Struthio camelus: one gene and its partner. The protein of the gene in region 2 binds, or shares a complex with, the protein of the main gene of each other region. Links are inferred from orthologs where the notes say so. Each region holds a gene or a part of one and is shown on either strand. Other genes may lie near its edges. The genes, in order: KCNIP1 and KCND2.

The links.
Region 1: the proteins of KCND2 (region 2) and KCNIP1 are in contact, whole or in part, in a cryo-EM structure (PDB 7E8E), measured with the Homo sapiens proteins. The link is inferred for Struthio camelus from reciprocal best matches to the Homo sapiens genes KCND2 and KCNIP1. Residues at the interface, in NP_036413.1 of Homo sapiens: Ala2, Val5, Ala7, Trp8, Pro10, Phe11, Ala12, Arg13, Ala14, Ala15, Ala16, Ile17, Gly18, Trp19, Met20, Pro21, Val22, Ala23, Ser24, Gly25, Met27, Ala29, Pro30, Gln33, Arg35, Lys36, Arg37, Thr38, Gln39, Asp40; in NP_001030009.1 of Homo sapiens: Thr60, Arg62, Glu63, Val66, Leu67, Arg69, Gly70, Phe71, Asn73, Glu74, Phe85, Ile88, Tyr89, Gln91, Phe92, Tyr101, Leu105, Phe109, Phe122, Leu126, Leu129, Leu130, Lys137, Thr141, Leu144, Tyr145, Val162, Ile165, His185, Phe189.

The regions. Positions count from the first base shown.
Region 1 is NC_090954.1:19,314,746-19,326,701, reverse strand, and holds the start of KCNIP1 (A-type potassium channel modulatory protein KCNIP1), read right to left. Parts: upstream 6,835-11,956; 5' UTR 6,686-6,834; coding exon 6,598-6,685; intron 1-6,597. UniProt on the Homo sapiens protein: Regulatory subunit of Kv4/D (Shal)-type voltage-gated rapidly inactivating A-type potassium channels. Regulates channel density, inactivation kinetics and rate of recovery from inactivation in a calcium-dependent and isoform-specific manner.
Region 2 is NC_090942.1:26,678,222-26,690,177, forward strand, and holds the start of KCND2 (A-type voltage-gated potassium channel KCND2), read right to left. Parts: upstream 6,461-11,956; 5' UTR 6,376-6,460; intron 5,606-6,375; exon of another isoform or gene 5,499-5,605; intron 4,633-5,498; exon of another isoform or gene 4,468-4,632; intron 4,259-4,467; 5' UTR 4,200-4,258; coding exon 3,085-4,199; intron 1-3,084. UniProt on the Homo sapiens protein: Voltage-gated potassium channel that mediates transmembrane potassium transport in excitable membranes, primarily in the brain. Mediates the major part of the dendritic A-type current I(SA) in brain neurons.

The DNA of each region.
Region 1 (11,956 bases), on a different chromosome or scaffold from region 2:
ATCAGGCCATTATTGCACGTCTGAAGGACGAGTTTACCCAGCAGCTGAAGCTGCCATTCAGAATCTCAGACAGGCAAGCTAGACACTCGCTCTTTACTAGATTTTTAATGCTAGTGACAATTTTCAGATTGCAGTAGATTAAAAAAGTATTAACTTTTGCTAAATGCAGTTAGGCAAATCACATAACAAGGTTTTATTTTTACACTCTCAAAACTCTATTTTGGCTTTACAAGATTAGCACCTCATCAAGCCTGTAGAAGCAATTTCTCCCTTTCACTCTCTGCTGTAAGGCTCTTGCACCAGGTCTCCCATTTATAAAAGAAAGCCTTAATCACTCTTATTTTAAACCCCAGACTACTTAACTCCTAGTTATCAGCATTAGATGTCCTCCACCCATTTGCCCTGCAAGCCAAATGCTGTGAAACAGTCATTACAAATAACAAAATTAAAAGTTTAAAGCCAGCTGAGAAGTGAAAGTCAAATTACGTATGCATGCTAGTGTTTTTTAGTAAAGCTACACAAGTGTGGAAGAAGTTGGCCATGAACATTCATTCCAATTACATCAAGAGTTTAAATGCAGCCATAGTTAAAACTTCTCCATGCCTGCTTTCCGCTAGTCAGGGTCATAAACAGTAATCACACTGGAACAACAAAAACTAATACCCAAGAACAGGAACCCCACAAATACCACCATAAAGAAGAGCCAAAACAGAATTTCAGCTGCATCCCTAACAGTAGGTTTCCTGCTGAGTTTGCACTAGTTAGTTTTCCCAGGGACACAGCCTGGATCAGAAAAAACACCGCATATTCTGCTGCAAAGTTGTCAATATTTGAAAACGCTACAGAAGAGAAATTCCTAAAAAGGCATAAAAATATATTACCCCAAAACAAGTAGAGTTGACTTGCGCTTCAAGATTAGTTTGTGAATATAGGAAAGATTGACAAGCTTTGCCATATTGTCACCCACAGAACTTTAGCACTGGAGATAACTTCGCAGCTACTTGCTGCCAAATGTTTTTAAGGTGGTCTTTTCTTGAAGCTTCCTAGAGGATGATCATGCTATTGAAAAGGTAAATGTTATTAAAAAAACCTATACACACAAAATTATACTTCACATGCTGATTCAAGCTAATTTTATTTTGATGTAATACATTTTCCTAACAAAATTCAGTCATGCAGCTATCCACTTACATTACGTTCCAGAGCTATCTACTTGCACTTATTCATTAGGTAGGTCCTAACATGGTCAATTAGGTCAAAATGTGTTGTGGCATGTTCATTTTGCTCCATTTTAAATGACCATACATATGAGGTAAATTAGTATATCCATTTAGCTGCAGCAGCATGGATATAAATTCCTTAAGCCATTCTCCAGTAGCTCGTTTCGAGTGTAGCTCACAGGTTAAAAGCCACAGAACCCCCCTTGCCCCCCCCCCCCCACACACACTCCAGGATACTCAGTTTTCATGGATTGTGGCAATGCAACAGAATCTAACAGTAGGATTACCTTATTGTTTTATCCTTTACATTGTTTTCTATTACAGAATTTGCAGAATAACCCATCAGTTAACTTAAAACAATCTTCTCTTTATGAATATAGTCCTGGGAACTCACATAACAAGAGAAAAAAAAAAAGACATTTAAACTGATATTCTTAACATCTTTCCAAGTATGTTCAGTTTAGAAACATCATGGTTATTGTGACTACTGTCATTAGTTCATATGCTGAAAGATAACCTCATTTTCTCACTGACATGATAGCTGACTAGTCCCAGGGTTTAACAGCAGTCCTAGCTATCAGACACCACATCCACACATGCTTACTGGAACAGCATTACAAAAAAGCATCCTGTATTGTTTCTCAGACAACAAGATCATGTTTTCTTGTTTTCTGCATAACTGACATTACATACTCACTTTTGGGGCTACATCATTGCAAACAATGACATTCTTAACGTATTTCTAGCACATATGCAACTACTTGGCCACTTCCAGAGGTATTAGTCTCCACAAGCACAGGTTTATAAGCGGTTTGAAAAGGAGTAACAGACTATTTCCACTTCCTCTCATTCTCAGTTCTTAAAACTCACCTTGCTTCAGAGGGGAGAAGGAAATGGTACACATAGACATATATACAGATTAACTAGTGCAGCCTTTGTGGAACTGATACGTTTCTTTGCAGTTCATTTTTCATACACCTACAAACGTGTAACACGCCAATCGGAAGTGCATTTTCCTTAGTGACTCATACAGACGCAAGGGTTCATCAGCATGGAGAGAACATCACTAGGTTTGCTGGCTAAACACACACACACACACACACATCAGCGTTTCTAGCATGCAGACAATGAAATTGGAGGGCCTCGCTGAGCGGAGCGAGGATCAGGTGCTGAGCAGTGAAGCGTCACTAGCCGTAGACTCTTCCCCACAAGACACGCACTGCAGACAAGTATTCTGCCCCTCGCCCTGGCAGCCCCTCTCCGACCAAGGGTTCATACCAGCACTTTAGGCACAGAAACCTTCTCCTGTTTCTCAGGACCATGGGAACACATAGACAAACCCTAATAACTGCTCAGTATTAAACTCGGTAAAAGTGTATCATTCATCCAGCTCCTGTAACTGCTTTACTTAAAGAATATTTACAAAATGCAGGAAGTTTCAGAAGGAAAAGCTGTATCAGTTCCTTCTAAGAGCCCTGTGAATCCCAGATTCCCTAGATCCGGGGGCGTTAGCCAGAATCGAAGGGGTGAAGGTGAGCCAGACAGCAACAGGAGAATCAAAACGTCTTTCAGTATGACACACAGGTGCAGGATCCCCGGCATCTCCTGAATAACTGCAGTGAACCTCCCTGCGTCTTTAGGGCATCTAGCAGCATTTACCCTGCCCTCGCAACTGCAGAGCCTGCGACCACAAAGCCAAATCTAATACAGTGCCAGCATGCACCAAAAGAACAAGATTAATCTCTACTGAGAGAAGGCAGAGCCCATGTATGACTGTAAGAAACCATGCGCTTTCCTTACCATCTCACGTAAGGTCTCAGAAGACTAGCTGCAATTTAGAGGCACAAAGAAGCTGCAAAACAAATCACATTGCAGTCATATACTCAAAATACTCTTCTTTCATGCTGGGGAGGCTGTGGGGAGAGCAAGATGTTTGAAGACTTTATCACTGCACTGGAGCAGATAATTAGGCAATTAAAACTATGAAAAATGGACAAATTACGAGTTCCAGATGAATTGCATTGCAGAACAGAGACAGAAGAAGCAAGAAAACAGAAATGAGAGCCTTTGGCAAGCGTTTTAACAGCACAACTAAAAGAGGGGCAACCCAGGAACAAAGGGCAGTTGGCTTGCAGGAGCTTATCTACTTTTCATAAGGAATATTTTGAAGGATTTGCTCCCTAAAATAATTTTGCTTTTCTTGCACTGATAACATATTAATAGAAATCCAAGAGGCCCCAATTCAGCTCGATTTCTGGTTGCTCAGCAAGGCCTTCCTGTATTAGCGTTTTAATGATATCAGCAATATCTCCGCACACAGCCTGAGGTCCCAACACTGAGCAGGAAGTTTGTTCTTTAGTCATCTGGACCTATGGGAAATCCCAAACTCAGTCTTACCAGTTACCCTGTTTGCTCCCAGGGCACGTAGGATCAGCTACCATTTCCCATACCGCAGTAGGGATAAGGTGAAAGAACACCACATCCTCATGCAAAAACCTGTTTTAACAAGGGAACTGTGGCTAAGGTGCTGCTGCTCGCATTCGGGCTGTAAACACACCAACTCGCTTCCAGGAGTCTCGTCTGAGCTCTCCCCTTCAAGTTTTGGACCTCTATCCAAACCAGTCAGGAGAACACAGCTGTTCTGCTCTGAGCAGCTAAAGAGGGATGTGCTTCTTTATACATGTAGTCTTTAACGCATCCAGCTCTGTGGAAGAGACCTTCTCTCACACGGCAGCAGGGACCTCTGATCCATCACCAAGGTTTTCCAGATAAGAATGCACTAATAGGCGAATAGGTGAGATTCGCTAGTCCAGCTCTGCAGAGATATTAGCTATGAATTTCTTGGCTTACAGCCTTGAAGGCTTGCTGCCGATGTACATCCGCACAGACCGTACCAACCGACTACCACACGGCAGCACCAGCTGTGCCTGCTCCCATACTGCCCACTACAGAGCGATGCTGCCATCTCGTCACATCCCACTGCAAAAGGAACGACTTCAAGTGCAGCCCCAACAGTTTCCTTCTATTATTGCAAATAGTTAAGGGGGGGGGGGGGAAACACCCTACTATTAAGAAAAGCAGAAGCCATACAATTCAGCTAGGAATTGCATCTCATTGAACTCTGGAGTAGCTCACACCCCAATAAACCACAAAGAGATGGAGGCACAAGAACATAGTGAATCTTGTGCCTCACAAAGGATTTTCTTGTAAGACGTGTTTAAAGTAAAAATAAACAGTATTAAGTAGTATGAAGGTAACGAAACAGCAGGAGTGACGCGAAGAACACGAGATAGTTCTTGAATATTCAAGAGCATGTAGATGGTGTAAGTTAAAATGTACATAATAGCAATATAAAATAGTTCCCACATCTTGGCTTTATATGCAAAAAATTTGACTGGAAGAAATTCTAAACAATAAATTCTGGAATAAATGTATAAGTAAACTTCAGCTTTTTTTTTTTTTTTTAATAGAAATCAACATTTTTGAGTAAGATTTCTAATCATTTTCTTTCTAGTTGGAGTTTCACAACTAGTGATATGAAAGCGTTTATTTTAGTTAAAACAGGTCTTTGATATCCATGCAAGAAGCTCATTCACGTGCTTTATCCCTTCCTGAATCTAGTTCTTGCAGTTCAAAAACAAGCAGCTGAGCAGGGAGAAAGAAAAAAAGTGTAAGCTCTTTGCATCCTAGGAGGCCATTCTTATCTACTCCAAGCAACTCGAAACGAGCCATTGCCATGGCAGAGCGGAACGGTACCATGGCACTGGTTACCACGTAGAAAGACAACGAAAGCACAAGGCAGGCATCCTCAGGGGAGGGGTAGATTTTGGACACTTGGCTGTCATTTCTAGCCCCCCACACAGTGCTGTTCTATTTTCAAACCGAACCGTTGATGTATTGCTTTGCCAAAGCAAGCCTGGCAGCAGAGATGCAAGGGCTGCTTGTGAATTCCCCATTAGCTGACTTGCGCTAGCTGACCACAGAAGGAAACACGACCAGGACGCAGGTTTCTCACTGCCCTAGGGAGAGCACATGCGAATAGCACAAAGTTCATCAGCTGTGGCTAGCTACTACCAGCACCTCACAGAAGTATAAACCATAAGTTCGATTAGCTCCCAAAAAAGCACAAATTAGAAAAAACACCATAGGCGCTGACATGTGGATTCACTGGAGAGGGCAAGCCCCTGCAGATGCATCATACCACTGCTTTCTCTGCTCTAGCCATGCAAGTATGCAATTTCTTTCACTATGCTTTCTTTGGTGGATTTCTCCTTTGTTTTAAAGGGGAGATCTCAGCATTAATTGCAAGTTATAACCAATGTCAGGCAAGTTCTTAGTCTCTCTCTTCTGCTGGTCTTTGACAGATGACAGAACAAATGTAAGTGGCAAAAGAATAATTAAAAACAAGATGTAAATTTGAACTAATTGTGACTTTTAAAACATGTCTAGTATTTGTGTTTCGAACAGAGCATTTTGCTGTGCAGGTTTCTTCTGAAAGTCAGTAAGACTAACATGAAGAAGTCACCTTAGAAGCGCATGTGTTTCCCAGATAGACAGGACAGACCGAGGAAGTCCCCCAGTTTCTGCACAGAGAAGCCACACCAGCGTTTCAGTTCTTGGCACTTCCACAGTTGGCATTTCAAAAGTCATCTCGGGGGGCACTGAGTTTACCCTAAGAACAACTTAAACATTAAAATTCACACAGGAGCACATGTGCTCCTGACAGCCGACGCAACCATACAACACCTCTGAGGGATCTAAAATTATCTGGAAAACACACACTTCCCTTTTGTTGATCCACCACGAAAACATCAAAAAAGCTTCAGACATTTACGCGTAATAAATGCATCATAACAGAGACTCTTCAGCTTCATGAGAATCCCTCCTCCAATAACTTGGTCTAGATTTTATTACCACGTCTAAAAAAACCCAAGGAAACAAAGCAAGAACTTGGAGAAGCCTGACCTAAACGTTGCCCACGTGTCGGCAGCCGGCGGCCGAGCTGAAAACCCTCCGTTTTCCTCAGGAGCGGCCGCGGGGAAGGCGGAGAGGTGTCCCTGCCGCAGGAAAGCCGGGCGGGAGGGCCGAGGTCGCCGGCGGGTTTGTTTCTTCAGGCGCGGCGGAGAGGAGGCGCTCGGCACCGCTCCCCCCGCGCGGCGCGGGGCCCGAGGCGCCGGTGACAGGCGCCGGCGAGCGCGCAAGCGGCAGCGACCCAGATTCCGAGGCCGCTTCCGAGAGGCGCCAACACCGAAGCGACACGGGGCAGGAGCGCCGAGCCCGCACGCCGGCTCCCCACGCACCGGGGCGGCCGGCCCCGCTGGCAGCCCACGGCCAAGGCAGCCTGCCCAGCCGCGCGAGCCCAGGCGCTCCCCCTTACCTTTGCTGAGCGTGCCCGTGATGAGCTTAAACACGGTCCGGGCGAATTTAACAATCCCGTGCTTGCACCTCTTGGAGCACCCGCTCATGGCTCCAGCGCGCCGCGCCGCTCCTCTCCCCCGCGCCGGCCGGGGAGCGCGGAGTGCCCTCCACAAGTTGGGGCGTCCCGCCGGCCTCGCACCGCGCTCCGCGCCGGGCTCCTGCGGGACGGAGCGGAGGGGAGGGGAGGCGCGTCCCGCCCCAGGTGCCGCCGCGGCGCCCTGGCGGCAGGTGCCGGCGCGGGGAGGGGGCGGAGCCAGCCCGCCCCGCCCCGCCCCTCCCCGGCGGCGCGCGGAGGGGGCTGCGGCCGCCGCGCCGCGCCGCGCCGGGCTGTGGTGGCGCCGTCCCCAGCCAGCCGCAGTCCAGCCGGCGATCTCCCGCCGTCGGGCCCCGGGAGAGCCGGGCGCGACCCGTCCTGCCGCGCTGCCGGCGCGGAGCGCTCCTTCCTTCGCCAGCCGCCCGCAAAACTCTCTTTCCTGGCCGTTTTACCCTCCGAAATGCTGCTCAGCTGGTCGAAGCGCGGGGAGGGAGGGCGGGCGGGCGAGCGAGCGCGGCGTCAGGCTTGCCCAGCGCCCCCGGCTCTCTCCCTCAGGTGCCTGGTGGATTTACCCGCCAGCAGCAGCCGCGGCTCTGGCGTCTCCCATTCAGCCCATCGCTTCTGCGTGCCTGGAATACGTGGAGCAAAATTACTTTTCCGTTTGTTGTGTCCAGCGTAGCGGCGCTGCCTCAGCGCCCGCGGCCCCGCCTGAGCACTGGGCGCGGGGGGGGGGGGGGGGGGGGGCAGCCTCAGGCTTTATTTCATGCCTAAGTCCTCTCAGGTGTTTCCAGACAGCCCCAAAACACCATGCTATTTTCCTGTCCCAGGGGCGGTCGCAAGGGTTCCCCTCAGGCTGCCGCCCGGTAGGTCGCTGACTCAGCGCTGGCCGAGAGGGGCCGCGGCCAACGGCTCCCGCCTGAGGCGCGAGTGCGGCCAACGGCTGCCGCCGCGGGAGACCACGGCCGCCCCGGAGCCGCTCCGCGCTGCCTCCTTTTACCTCAGGAGAGCGGACTTCTGCGCGCCAAGAGCAAACTACGCACCGACCGGCTTGAGTAACGGTCGGGGAAAGCCGAGTTCAAGTCCATCGCCGTGGAGCCGGCCCTGAAGAGGCGGGGATGTTTTACCACGCGCCGAATTTCCCTGGGCTGCATCTGGAGCTAAAAAACCTCAAGCTCGGCTTTAGGTTTTTCATTTTTTTCCCCAAATGAACAGATTCCCCGACTGAAAACCTCAAAATAAACCTCAGAGGAAGTGACCAGCAGAGAGCAGTTCCTGCTTGCCAAGACGGCCGGCCGGTCCGCCCGACCGCCCCCCCCGCGGCTGCCCCTCCGGGGCTGTCCTGCCCTGCAGCCTCTCGGCCACGTTTCTCCAGAAGTTTCCAGAAAGTCTTTGCTCTTTCCTTGCTTACGCTCCACCGGGCCGCTTGCCTAGACCATTCTTGGCTCGAAAGCCTTGCGTGACCACCCAAAATGAGTGGCAGACTTGTAGACATATAGGCCTAAGTAACTCCATCGTGAAGCCATCTCCAAGGCTGTCCTTTATCCCCAGAGAGACAATCCAGAGCTGGAAACGTGATGCTTCAAAAGGAAAAAAAAAATGTAATAAGGCAGTAAAATGTCAATGTGGAAATCAAAGAATCAGTTGGTTGTTAATTTAGTGTATATCAAGGATTTGCAACACGCTTAATTGCATTTATATGTATCGTGATCACATTTAACTGAGGAAGAAGGGGGCAGATATTCCTGGCTACACCTAGGTTGCCTAGAGGAAAGATTATCAAGCTACCTAATGCCAGAAATTGCCTGAAAATTGCCAGAAATTTTTATTTTGTTTTAACAAACAAATGGAAATACATTGCTGCACATCCCAGCTGGTTTCAAAATTTGGCTGAAAAACCCTCATCCTGGTCAGAAAGTGGTTTAGTTGAGAAACTGTCACAGCTGGAAAGCAAAGGACTCAGTTACAAGGTGGTAACTTACCCTTTCGCAACCCAAACGTCACAAGTCAGAGGACAACAGACACAGCAAGTGCGATGGGAAGGTTATGGAGGCAGAGAGGTCTCAGGCAGTGGGGGGAAGAAGACGACTGTGTCATACCCTAGAAAACACTTTCAGCCTCTCTGACTCCCCAATTTGCCCCGGAGAACCAGATTTCATCTCAAAAGATCTGCTGGCCTCTTTTGGCCCATAGTCCACAGGGAAAAAGAAACAAATTGTAACCCATAGCAGTGCATCACCTTAGCCACAGGACTGCATAAAAGCTGCACCTGCTTCAGCAGGGTGCTGGAGCTTCATGCTCCCAGCGCTCTGGGAAATGGGGGTTAGCCAGGCCTCCAGCACAAGTTTCAGCAGCCGAAAAAAAGACCCTCTGCATGTAGTACCAAAGCTGATGAGCTTAAAAAATACTCAGATATAAAGATATGCGGGAAACATTCATAGACAGTACATGTGAATGAGAGTTCAGCAGCACAGAATTGCTCTGGCCGTTCCATATTCTTTACTACTGAGGAAATGACTTAGTACTCGTAGTACAGTGATTCCTGAAGCCCAGGACTCCGCTGGTGCTAGGTGCAGTACAAAATTAGAACAGAAAGGATGGTTCTTATCCAAGAAAGCTAAGAGTGAAACAAGAGAAAACACTGGATACGGTCAAGCAGACTGGGGGAAGCACGGGAAAACTATAAGGCAAGCTGCACAGCATGACCACGGCTAGTGCTGGCACAGGCTAACCACAGTGCCCTGTACCCATAACGGGAGAAGAAGGTTTGAAGGCAGGAGGATTAATGGTGTTTTGCAGATGCTTCTTGACTGCAAGGACCAGTATAAGAGAAAGCACAAAGCTGTTTACTTGAAGTTCAGCGTGTTGGAAAATGAAGACTGGCTATAACTGTTGTTTTGAGGCAAAAGTCAACATCCTGAATGAGTGAATGAGATGATGCATAAGAGACTGGTCATGGAGAGCCTTGCATCCTCACTGGGGTTATCTGTGGGAGAGCACAAAGGCACCTTATTCTAGTTGCAGGCAGATGATCTTCAGTGACTGGCTGAGAACTTCTCTGAGGAAAAAAAAAGGTGTTTTATCCCTGATGGCAAAGTCAATAAGGGCCGTTCAGTATAAATAGATACTGCAATTTCTTTATTTGATCAGAAGTCCAAGCAGGTCAGTCAAAGTTGGAAAGGCATACAAAGGTAGGGTTATTCAAAGGGAAGGTTGCAATGTAGGGGAAAGTATTTTTCCCTGAAGGCTTTGATGTAACAAACTCCAAAACAATACACAGAATAAATCCTCTAATTTCTTTTACATTCATTTTCAGCATGCTTAATAAGGGAATACGGTAGTTACACAGTACTCAGGAATGTAACTGTTTTACTCACACCCATGCTTAGTTTTATTTTCTGCTTATAAAATCTGAGAGGACTATATAACATGATAATTGTCATCCCAGAGGGATATAAAAGCAAGTACATTGTAGGAAATTGTTCTTTCCTAATTTGCCATTGAGGATCGCAGCGTGGGTGGGTGAGAGGTGAAAGCATTCTCTGAGTATATAAGACTCATCTGGGCTAAGTTCAAGCAGGGGTTCAGCTACTGCGGTTCCCACTGACATCAAAGGCAGTTCAGTCCTATTTGCATCAGGAGAAAATTTAATCCCTTAACTTGAAACCACACAGCAAATGCTTGAGCATAATCTCCAGGATAGGTATGAATAAACAGACTGTGAACTTGGATGCCCTGCTTTCTTACTGCCTTCTCCCGCATAAAGGAAATTTCCCCCCTTTTTTTCTTCTGTGGGTGCAGTAGGTTCGTCAAGAGCAGTTCTATGGCAACCTGCTGTCAGGGATGTAAGGGTACAGCATTTGTCCTACCAGGTTCATCCCAGATAGATACTGTAGCGATGCTGTGGAGGCTGAAGGGCAAAGGGGATGACAGCTGGGATACATCATGGATCCTGGGATCTTGAAGGATGCACTGACAGAAGATACACTCTCACTTTTTTTTATATTCTTTCCCTAATTTACTGCTACTTGCCACTATGAGAGACAGTCATCAACTGCTTAGGCATTTGGTCTGGTCCATTCTTATATCTGGCTGCCAAAAGACTTTTGCATGGAAGCCATAAAGTCGTTCCCCCCCCCCCCCCAACACACACACACCTGGAAGCAAATCCTACTCATTCCCATTCCCTGTGGCTTAGGAGAGGGCATCACTGCAGAAATTTCCTCCTCTCCAATTCCTTCCCATAATTTTTTTTCTTAAATTTTTCCATCTTGATATGACAAACTGTTCCATGAATCCAGAGAGAAAGAGCAGGATCTTTTCTCCTGCAATGGGAATGGTGTTTTCAATCTCAGCATATTCAGCTTGAGCCTTGACCCCCCCCCGGCAGGCCCTGATGTCCTGACTGCCAGAACTGGAGACGTGGCTGGAGCTGGAGCCACAGATTCTTTCCCCGCCTGGGCGGCCAGCTCTTCTTCCCAGAGAAAAGAGGCATGGGAGCAGCTGGTATGCACCAAGTCTCACCCGATATGGAGCTGGAGAGGAGCTGGGGTGTGCTCTTGGGTCCCAAAGTGTTGACACAGACATACTGTATCATGTTCACTGCACTCCCAAAGACACAAGTGTCTCAGGATAGGCCATAAATACGATTCTGATGATCTGTTTGGAAGTAAGTCTAATGAGTACGGGCAATTGTTCCTACTAGCTGTGTCCTAGGTTACTTCCAATCTAGAGGTAATTAATGCAACATCACTTAACAGTTTTATTGCCCCATGACTAAGACAGGGAGTATTGCTTCAAAGGGTAGCTTTGAAAATTGACCTACTTGAAATGAAGAATTGACAGCCAGCTTACTCGAATACATATAGCCTGTGTGGATAGAGCTCTGAGCATATCACGTCCCCTGTCATTACTATTATTTGCAATAATAATACCATTAATAATAATATATTTAGCATTTCTCCAGATGCTTTTCCAAAGGAAGTTTGTATTAATATCCCCCTTTTTAGAACTTGGTAAACTGTCATATGACCAGATGAACTCACTTCCCTATGATTACCAAGAACAGAAAGTGGCAGCGAGAAGATCAGAATTGAGATCTCCTTTGTACCACTCCAGCACTCGAGCAGCATCCCAGCCCTGATATTATCTTCACCACTGCTCTCCTGCATTGCTACCAAGGAAGATAACGGTCGTACTGCATTTTCACGCACTCTGTAATTCCAGTTAGTATTATCAATCAATCAGAGCCACTGGAACAGTGCATGGAGACTTCCTTGTCATTACA
Region 2 (11,956 bases):
AGTCTTCTCTTTCTCTCTCTTCCATTCATACATTCATTCATTCATTCATTCATATAACATCTCTATGTGCAATTATGTATCACTTGAGTTGAGCAGTCAAGAATAGTTAATAGCTGGGATGTCCTTGGAGGCTAAAATGTAGCAATATTTGAAGTCACTGGCACTCTGCAGAGAAAAATGTAATCTATGTTTTTTAAAGACGCTTTAATTGCTCAGCAATCATGCAGAACGGAGAAATATAGCTCTGCTTCGAAGATAATAACTCCCCAAATTGCAAAGGTCGCTACTCAATACCCTTGCTATCTAGAAAAATGTGAGAATGACACTCAGAGTCAAAAACTCAAATAGTTAGTCTATTATTCATAGCATAGTCTATTAGTTTTCATGTATTTTTATAATATTTCAGAGAGCCTGCTGTGTGCTACTATTATTTTAAAATTAAGAGATTTCAGCTAACTTTATTCCTAAAATAAAAAAGTTGTTCATATAGAGCCCAATTTTATAGCCCTTGTTCAGCAAAAACTAAAATTAAAAATAAATGGGAGTTCTACAAAAGTCAATGGTGACAGGATCTAACATAGAACCGAAGGCAGCAGTACTAATTGCAGTCAGCTTTCACTAACGCTTGCTGCTTTTCCTAGAATTTCCCTCTCTTTTTCTATAATCATTCCCTCAACTAAAGACAGTTGAAAGCTTTTGTTATGCAATTCAATTAAAATTATTCATATTTATTTAACATTTAAGCATAGTCTTTACATAGTTATCAGAATTTTTTAAAGGATATCATCTAGCTAATGTATTGGCTAAAAATTTCCCAGCAAGTTATGATGTCTGTAATATCTGAACTTGTAATCATATAGGAACTTGTAAGGCTGAAACTTTGCATCTCTGTGAAAGTTGCTCAAAACTTGCTTTATGCAAACTACTTCCAAAACTGAGTCAAACATCTGTTCTTTTTAATCCCTTTTCTTCCTCCAGGGACCTAAATATCGTGTGCCTGTGTACTTGAAAATAGGTTCTTGAGCTCTGTTCAAAGAGATTTTCAGTGTTATTCATCAGTACTCTTGAAATGGTATTCAGCGTACTGTCTCAAAACATGGAACTATGGGATTATACCAATTTTTTATGAAAGAGAAAAACAAGTTATATCAATGCCAAGTCATATCACTGACAAATCAATATCACGTCTGTGTCATATTCCATTACGAGCTGGCTATGCTACTTAACAATACGGTTCAGTACCATGGACAAGTACTGCCAACAACAATGTCCACAGTGGTGAACTCGACTTATGTAACAAATACCTTTCATTACAAAAAAATGCAGGCCATCTCCTGCTTTTTAATAATAAAATTGTATATTATAAAAATTGGTAAATTCTTATGACTTAACTTGCTGAAATCATCACAGTTCAAATGATAATTAAAAATATGTGGCAAATGTATCAGACAGTATCAGAAAGAATAGGACTGTGGAACTAGTTATCATGTATAACTTGTTCCTTGTGCTAACTTGTCCCTTTAGTTTGTCACTACCAGAAGAAAATGAAAACTAAAAAACCCAGCAACCTAAAAAGTAGATTAAAATCCCCAAAGCTCTTGTCATTCCTTTTTAGCATAACTTGCCTTCACAAGTATTATGAAATATTTACAATGTACTATATTTATCTTCATTTGTTATAGTGTGCTGAAGATAAAAGGCTTTTCTAAAAAAATGGTGGCATAATACAGTCCCTTTATCTTGTTCAAAATTCTATATGTGATTTTTCCAGCTGAATTATGATTGCATATAATAAATCAACTTTTTCCATAATAGTTTCATAATGCACTTTCATTTTGTTAAGCTTAAAAATTATACGTGTTTCATAAATCTCAACAATTTCAACAAGATGTGGCAAAATGTTTGACTAATAAAATGACGGTCCTCATCTTCATGAGAGTGAAAAGTTGTGTCTCTTAATACCTGTAATTATTAAATAGCTAGAAAATTTATAAGGAATCAAAAAATTTTCAGTTTCATAGCTGATACTATAAAGCCCAAAATTAAGAACAGGGCAACAAATTGTCTTCTCAAATGAGCCAAACTTTCTAAATCCCTTTTAGCATTACAGATAAACACATCGTACAGCCTGGTGTACAGAGTCAGCTGCTACAATGTGATTCTAGTATCAGTAAGAGACCTGTTATCTTTATAAAACAATGCTAGGTACTATCTCCTATCTTTCCACTAAACTCTATTGGAGTTTAGTGTCAACAATCTTTTGTTGACCAAGCATCTTTTAACTCCTAATTCTCTGGAAGAATTTCTAGTCATTAGAATTATGTTTTAGATATTTATTTGACCTGTCATATAAGTGTTTCACACTTTCTCAAACCTTTTTCCACACTGTGTCATAGGTAAGCAAAGCTTGACATGTGCTATTTACTTGGAGCTAAGCTGCAGTTCTATGGAAATCAAAGGGATTTTGTCCAATGTCTTAAATAAGATCAGGACTTTTTTTTTCCTGTGGAGATTAAGATTCTTTTTTATTTTTGTGAAAAAAAACCACCTTGCAGTACCCAAATCTATACCAAAGTCCCCATCAATACTTCAATTCAAACAAAATGGCAGATCCACATACTTCTATGCATGGTCAAATCAAAATATTGCACCTGTTTTCTTCTCATAACTATCACTACTTTAGCAACACTGCAACAAATCCTATCAGAAATCATACTATTCTACTAGAAATCCACTGATAACTCACAAATATTTAGAAAATCTTGCAATTTCACTATCCAGACCGAATAAACTGTCAGAGAAAATGGTGAAGAACCCAAACATAGTTTTAAGAATTACATTTGTTTGGGTTTTTCAATTCATGTCCAGTTTGGGGCCTGGGTTATTTTAACTTTAGCAACACTTTTAACTCACTTGCATATGTAAAGCATTTTAAAAGGAGTGCTGAGTTGTATTTATAAAGTTGAGGAACAAAAACTTACCCTTTCATTTCTTTCTATTAACATTTTTGAAATTGAGCATTTTCCATTCCTGGCAATACACTTGTTGAAATGTTGGCTGTAACCAAATGCCAGCTGCACTTACCCCAGTGTTGTCATGGTGACAATGGTGTACCAGAAGGCTGCAGGGATGCTGGTGAACTTGCTGGCTGATGAACCTTTCTCTGCATAGTACATGACTGTGGCAAAGATGATGATGGCCATGGTAAGCGAGAAGAGGAGAAAGCCTAACTCCGAGGCACAACTTTTCAGGGTGTAGCCCAGGATGCGCAGCCCCTGTGAGTGACGGGAAAACTTAAAGATCCTGAAGACACGAAAGACTCGCAGTGTCACAAAAGCCCCACTGACATCCTCGTTATCTGTCATCACCAGGCCGATATAATACGGCATGATGGCAACCACATCAATGATGCTCATGACACTGCGTACAAACTTGTAACGACTAGGGGCTGCCAGCAGGCGTAACAGATATTCAACTGTGAAGATCATGACACAGGCAGTATCCAGACAGAAGAAAGCCACAGCATAGCGCTCTCCACAGGGCAGCTCCTTGATGCGGCCTGGGCTTACCCCACAGGGCACTGTTTCCACCACATTGGCAATAACAGAGACAGCAATGAAGAAACCAGTGACATAGTAGAAGACCAGAGCCAGTGTACTGGTGTGTGGGTTTTCAAAGGCCCGCCACATCCTCTGCCGAGCTGTCATAGAGGGTAAGGAGCTCTCGGCTGCATGATCCTGATCAGCATCATCCTGCAGGCGCTCAGCGTTCTCACGCCGGCGATCCTTGTATTCCTCATAACAGCAGTCGCCAATGATCTCGGGGATGATGCCAAAGAAGGCCAGCTCCTCATCATAAGCAGAGATGCACTCTTGGCGGGGGTAATGAAGCTTCCCTGTACGGTAGAAGTTGAGAATGTGGCGGAAGATGTCAGGGTCCCGATCAAAAAAGTACTGCTGTGTCTCAGGGTGGTAGAAGAAGTCCCGCTCTGAACTGCCCAGCAGAGTGTCGGGGTAGCGTTCTAAGGTGTCCAGCCATGTCTGGAACTGGATACCACTCACGTTCAGCACAATCAGAGAGTCCTGGCTTCGCTTCCTCTCCTGCCGTGGAGCAGCTGGCATAGGACCTGTGGCCACTGGCATCCATCCTATGGCGGCTGCCCTGGCAAAGGGTAACCATGCTGCCACTCCTGCTGCCATGGTCCTGAACAGCTACTACAGCTGAGAGAGTCAGTTTAGAGACAGTTCTGGTATGGCCACTAAAACACAAAGGAAAAAGAAAAATATAAATGCTCACACGTTTTTGAGGCAACAGGATTCCAGAACGCTATTGTGATTCAGTATTAACTGGGCTGCTTAATCTTGTTTCCTCCCCTTCCTCGTCCTAGACTATCCTTTCCAGGGACTGATTAGCCAGTTAGGGCAATAAATCAGGACACCGGGAAATCAACATATTCAAAGCACCTACTACTCCCTAGCAGCCGGATCCTTTGGCGATGAGGTCCATACGTGGCCCCTCGATGGAAGTGACGATCCACAGCGCTAACCCCAGCAGCTGGCTAGCAGCCCTGGTGCATCGGTGCAGCCACCTGGAAGGAGATTTTCTTCCACGCGCGATGCAGCCGGGCCCCGCGCCCCTCCTCCGCTCGCTCCCCGCCCGCCGCCGGAGCCCGGCCGCGGCCGTCGGCGCAGTCCTGCCGGGCGGGCTGCAGCGGGGCCGCCTGGCGCCGCCCGCCCGCTCGCCGTGCCGGGGCGGAGGGGATGGGCCGGGCCGGGCCGGGCCGGCCGCCCCCTCCCTCCCCCCCCGCCGCTCCGGCCGCAGCCCTGGAGCAGCAGCGGGACGAATCCGCTCCCTGACCTTGATGGCTGCCCCCCGCGGACTCCTCCTGACCCAGGTTTGGGGCCGGGGGAGCCGGCGGGGCAGGGGGAGGAGCTCCGCGCGGCAGCATTAAACTTTAAGGCAAGTTTTCCTTGTAGGAAATGCGTTGAAGGGCAGAGGGGCGCAGGGGAGGGGGCACCTGGAGAGGGGCGAGGAGGGAGCGACCTGCAGAGCGGAGCGGGCGGGAGGCGAGTCTCCCCCAGCATGGGGCGCCTGGGGCTGGGGCAAGGATCGATCCGGAGCGGGGACAGCGCCGAGCAGGGCCCTGCTGGCGGGGGAGAGGAGGATGGAGCGGGGGCTCCCGAGGCCCCCGCTGAGGGTGCGATGCGGGGGACACGGGGCATCCTCGGCAGCGGCCGAGCAGGCGGCGAAGGGCGAAGCCGGGGGCGCCTCGCGATGGAGCAGGGCAGGGGCAGGGGCTGGGGCTGCCCAGAGCCGGGGGAGGCCGGGGCGGGCGCGGGGGCGGCGGGGAGGCGGGCGCGGGGCCCCGCCGCAGCCGCGGCAGGGTGCAGCTCGGCGGCCAGCAGCGGATGGTCTCCCCCTCCCGCCTCCTTCTCCTCGCCCCTTCCCCTGGCTCTGCTCTCGCATCCCTCCGGACGTGCCCAGCCTGCGGCACCTACCTGGGAAAGTCTGACGAGAGCGCTCAGTTGCATAGAGACTTTTAGAAATACAGGCTCTGCCGCGAGATCTCCGTGCCCCGCCGGGAACGGCGGGGAAGTAGTTGCTCCTGAGAAAGCTTGATCGCATCCAAAGGGACATCGATAATAAGGCTTTCCCCCACCCCCACCCCCCTCCGCCACCGCCGAGCGCCAAGCAACAAGTTCAAGGGGTGGGTGGGGGGAAAAAACAACGTAATCGCGCCTGGCAACTCAACGGAGCACGTCCTTTCGGGGAGCGGATCCTGCGGCGCGGGGCTGCCGTCAGGCGCGGCTGCGGCCGCTGCCCCTGCCGCGGGGCTGCCGCGGGGCTGCGGGCGGCGGCGAGGCCCTGGCGCGGCCGGGGGCGGGGGGGGCTCCCCGCTGCCTCCCCCGCGGCGGGCGGGCCATGCCGCCTGCCCGCGCCGCCGCCGCCGCCCGCGGGCTCGGGGCGCAGGGGCGGGCGCCGGCGCAGGGGGGAAGCGGGGCGGCGCGGCGCGGGCGCGGAGGGCATGGCTCCGCGGGCGGAACAAAGCGGGCTGCGGGCGGCCGCGCTGGCGGGGAGTGCCGGGGTGTGTGGGTGGGGGGGTGTCGGTGCCTGGATCGCGCGGTCCAACCCCTCCGCCGTCAGCGCCGCGCAGAGAGTTAGCGGTGTTTCGGGTGGGGATCGGGCTGTGGAGATGGCTTAGGTGAGGCAGCTAGGGAGATTTCTCTGAAGTGCTAGCTCCTCTCAAGGGGAGGGGAAGAAAGAGAGAAAGGGGGGAAAAAAATCAAATGCCTGGCAGTGAAGTGTTGCGAGGCTTCTCGACACCCGCTCCGAGCCACTCCGGCGTGCTCGCTGCAATATCCGAACGGCTCTTACCCGCTTTCAGACAGGCGAGAGCTGGGACGGGTATGCGAGCCTTTTCCTCCTTCCGTCCTTTCCGCTCCCGTGCGAAGCCGCCCCCTTTTTCCCGTCGCTAGATGGCGTGTGGATGACGAGGAGTGCGGGGCCGCCGCGGCCGGGCCGGGGGGCCGCGCGGGGCCGCGCCGGCGCTGGCTCCCCGCCGCCCCGCATCGCCGCCGCCGCCCGCCGCCGCGCTGCGCCCGGCGCCCTCCGCAGCCTCGCCAGCGGCAGATGAGCGCAGAGCAGCGCTGCGTCTTCGGGGGAAAGCGGTGACATAATGCCTCGAGCTTTACGTGCCCTTCTGCTAGCTCTGATGAGCAGAACGAGCTGCTTGTATTTTGTAATTAAAATGCTGAAAACACTCGGGTTCTTCATCACTGAGCTCGCGTCAAGACCTCAGAAGGCATTCCTCCTAATATGCGTTTGTTTCAGTTTAGTAATAACACGGAGGGCTTGCAAAGGAATCATACAGTAAATAGGCCCCTTTATACTTGAAGATCTGTTGACCAAACCTCCCGCTCTAATAACCTATCTTAGGCATGTGCCAAAGAAATCTAAAACAAAACGTGGAAACAGGGAAAATCAAGGAAAATATGAAAAATAAAACAAATACATACTGAAGCCTGGAAATTATCTCTTTTCTATATCTCAGTGATATGCTTGATTTCAGTGTGTATTAGCTTCTGTTTAAGTTTCCATAAAAAAGATGAAGAACACTATCAATACTGTAGTCTGTAAGCTGTTCCCATGAGGAATACTTGAAAGCATGCAGACAAAAAGATTAAAAAATGTTGAAGTGTAGTTCCTAAATTAGGAAGACTTATGATGGCTACAATCAATCACATACCTGAAATCACATGAAACAAAAAAAAAAATCACATAAAAAGAATACCTTCTGTAGTTTCACTAAAGATTTTTTTCAGGTGTAAACATTCAGCTGATTAATTCTTATAAATTAATCCATTAATTTGAAATTAGTTGGTCGAGATTTAAGTGTAGAGATTGCAATGATAATGATATGCTTCTCCCATATGAAGGAAAAGATGAGGATTTTTGATTTAGTGATACAAAATAACAATCCTATAGCAATTAATAAAGGCCAATTTATCGTCCTGTCAGCTCAGCACTAAGATAATAATGTAGGACTTTGTTTCCTGACAAATAGTCAAAAGAGGTTTCCTTTTCCACTATAGATTCTTTTTGTAATCAATACATGCTCTTATTTTTTAACCCGACTGGCATTACAGTAAACAGTTACTTCTTTCAATTGGTTTTTATATGCAGGTTTTTACAGAACCTCACTTGAAAACAAAGGTTTGGGGTTTTTTTTTTGTTTTGGGGTTTTTTTCTTCAATAGAGAGGAGAACGTGTTCCATTAAGAATCACTTTGATTCTTGTTGAAATCTTAATGTTATTTCAAAGACTTACCACGTTTCATCAGGAAAAAGAAAAAACAAAGCAATACATTTGGACAAGTGGGGGGATCAGGTAATGGTATAATACTATGCCTATTTTAAAACAGAGGTTTGAAAACGGTCCGGGTTCAAAGTTTCCCTTTTCTAATAGCATTGGCTATTTGTAAAGATGATCACTTTTTTTTTTTTGTTTTTGTTCTTGTTGCACAGCCTGTGTATCAGAAAAGCTTCTTTCAGAAATGGTATCATGGAAGGAAAAGCCAGAAAGTGTATTGGTAAGCATAGTCTACTACCTTCTTATTCTAGCAGAAAGTTCATTACGATTCTAGTGAGAAGCACTAACCAAGAAGGTCGAACTTTCTCAACTTGTGCATGGTTAGTGTCTTGAAAATGTCCGTCTGTTCTTACTTTGTACATTTCAGAGAGGTTAAATTCTAGTATACAAAGTGTATATGCAAGAATAAATTGTCTGTTCTTCTGAAGTCAAAGTCCTTCATGTGACATCACAGTTCAATCATCTGTGACATCAAGAGACTGGTGTTATGTGACAGGGAGGACTGTTGACTTCAACTAGGAATTAAGTAGCTGGATCTCAAATAAGACAAAAATCCTATTTTCAAGCTAAGAAAATAAATCCTAGTAATTGTAAGACCAGAAAAGAATGGTACTAAGGGGAATGAAACAATACATTCTAATACGAGCTGTTTCTAAATTCTTTCCAAAGTCATGAGCTACAAAGAACTCTCTAAGGATTAAACAGCTATAATGCATATGTTTATATTAGTGTATTTAATTTTTTCAAAATATTTAGAACCTTTGAAACCAAGAATTTCCTTCACAAACTGAATTATGTACATTCTCTCTTCATAATTCCTTTAGTACTAAGCTTTCCTTAACTGATAGGGTTTTGAAAAAAAGAAAAACACAAATATTCAAAGCCACCTTGTAAGTCTCAACCTTAAGAATTAGCTATACCTCTGATTTCTTTCTTTTTTTCCCTCTTTAGTCTAGAAGGTAATTTCACAATTCTTGCATTCTTATATTAAGACATACTGGTGCAGCGAATACCAAATGCATAAAATCCTGCAGAGGCAACTGGGTTCTGATTATAAGCTATTTTCCCCCTCTAGGATTAGTAAGAATAGTCTCCATAACAAAGAACGTATTTACGTGCTCTTTGGTGAAAAGATGGAAAGGCCTTTTCTCTTAATTTATAGGAATCAACATTACTCAGTCTTCCACAAAATGCAGCGGTTTCTGCCCAGAGCCACTCTGGTTACTACTAACAGAATATTCTATTGATCTGCCTCTTTTGCTTCATATTTTCCTTGTTTGCAGGTCTGAATGCTTCTCAGTCTAAGGCGGGGGAGGGATTTGATTTTTTTTCTCCAACAGAGGGAACCTGAGAGACCTTCTACATAGAAAGACACTAGTATAATGCTTACTACAGTGTTGGTCACTTAGGCTCACTCAAGAACTGCAGTCACTAGCTTAAGAATGAGTCTCATACACAGATGAAAATGTTTGATTTTATAGTGCAAGTCAAATAAATCATGCTTTGGTCACATGCAACTAATGAAAATATACATTTTCACAGTCTGCAATTTCCTGGCCTTTGTAGATTTATCTCGTTTAAATCTAACTAGGTTTTGTACTGTGGGCCAGGCAGATAGGCAGGAGGGTTTTGATATGGGCATAATTTTTCAAAGAGAAAAAGTCATCTTTATTGAAGGTTGCTAAAATAGGCTCAGGTCACTCTGCAGTGCCTGTGCTTGTCATCTTTCTTTCTATCTGGAGAAATAGATTGCTCTGGACCTTAAAAAATGACCTCCCACTGGTCAAGGATTAAGTCATACTGTGGGGGAAGTGCCCAACATACATCATTTCTTTTAAATTCTGAAACCGGCCTGAGAGTTAGCATAGCCTGAAAATTAACCTGAAAATAAAGTGCCTTATCTCTGTGGAAAAAGTTTTTTTTGTGCATTTAATACAGACTTAGTAGATGGAAGATGAGAACAGAGCCATAAGCACTGTGGTTTCTTTTCTGCTTAAGGTGAGGTTAAGGTGATACTTGGTATAGTCTCAAGAAGTTTGTCTCAGTTTTTCAAAGAAGGGCCTGATTTGATCTCAGATATTTTATCTGCTCTAAATCAACAAATACTCTTAGTAATTGTATATGTTTTTCTTGATGTACAGGAAATTATAGAAAAGATTACTTCTACTTAACTATGTATTAGTCACACTAAGCACTGGGAATTCGTCTTGAAATTAGTGGTAATTTACCCACCAGTAAAATGGTAAATACAAACTTTTAAACTTTGCTTTAGATAAATACATATTACTAATTTTAAATTCATGTTTTGGCTCATATAATATCATCAAAGGAATAGTTGTTTCATCTATATAATGAGACTCAATTTCAACCTATTTAGCTTTAGGCACCTGTGATACCTAATGAAGAGCCTGCTCAGCCTAACTTCCTGGAGCCAACAGAGAGAAATAATTCCAGAGACCAAAGCATTCCACCTACAATCTGAGTGTATATATGCAGGTATCCGTTGACTATAAAAGGAAGACTGGGATGACTGTAATCCTTAGCTTAGGAGTCTTAGTAGGACATTTGACATTAGGCAGGATGAACCTGAGACTGACAGCCTGAGCCAAAGTTGGCTGGAGTAAATGGCAAAACTACCCTGGACTTAAAACTGCCTTTAAGGTCACATCCTTAGAAAGAGAAACTAACAGTAAATTAATGCAGAAAACTAGCTCACCTCTTAGCTCACATTCCTGGATACATTGAAACGCTTTGGGAAGTCTGCTTTGAAAGGTATGCCTCTCACCAGACTTATTCTGTGCCCATGTGGCCACATTTCTAGTCACATGAACAATCTCCAGTATCATCAGATACTCACCTTTCACTTCCTAAGCACTAAAAAAAGAAAAAAGTAATAAAAAACCCTCAGCATCGATAAGAAGCTCTATCTTCTCATACCGAACTGTGACGTACTAATAAAGTACTTAGTTCTGCTGAATCTCTGTCTTTAACTATGACATACAACTATATCACAATATAGCCCGTTTAACTATCTGACAATATGCCATTTCCAGTAGTCAGTTCCTGCTCTTTTTTAGATGTATAGTTTGCTACTTCTATTTGTCCTCTTTCTCTGCTCAGGGTTAATAACCTACTCTAAAATTTGACTCTCATCATTTTGTTGAGCTGTTGGGTAAAACATATATAAGACGTGACTGAAGTTCCTTTTTCTAAGCTGGTTCTCAAAGACCAATACACATAAGTGCTATATTGCAGCAGACAGACAACATCTGCAGAATTCTTAATCTATGATTCAGTCATGTCCATTCCTTCATATATTCCTTCCTGATTCAGAAGAAAGTTTGTCTAAACTGAAGGACCAAAGTAGTTCAAAACATAAATAAGACTGAGGAGTTCAGTTTGTTTTAATTAAGGCCTTGGATCCTACTTTGCACATTAAATTGAAACTATTCAGTGATGGCTCCAACCTTATAGTAGTGGAAAGGATAAATGGGATAGTAATGTCAGTCTCAGTGGGAAAGGAATGTCTAGGAACACGTTTATCAAGGAGAGCTGTAAGATCTGCTAAACAAGCATGATTCACAGGGAGTGACTCTACAGTGAAAGAGACATGAGCGGTCTGTGTTTCAGTGTAACCACAGATTGGATAGACTCCTCTAAGGTGGTGAAGAAGTCTTGGAGAAGGAAATAAATCTGCACAAGCTTGGAAAGCTGGAACCTTTCCAATTTCAATTAAGGTTACTTTTCTTCCTTAAAAGTACCCACAGACAAAGATTAAGGCACATTTCAGCAGAATCCAGATTCTGGAATCTAGTAGATTCTGGAATTCCAGTAGAAAAAACTCCACAGAATAAAGTTTATCTCCCCTTTTTCTCTAGCTTTCAAGTTTTAAGTTCATATTCCTTACTCCAAGCCACCCGTAGCTCTGCTGTCTTTTTCTATATACTTATACTTGTAAAAAGGTATCTGGTCAGTAGATTTATGAAGTCTTTGCTCCATTTGATGATATGGAATAGATACCGATTTCTGGCTGAAGAAAGCAAGAAAAGGTTAGCGTCCTTTATATTTGCTTTTATTTTAATTAGCT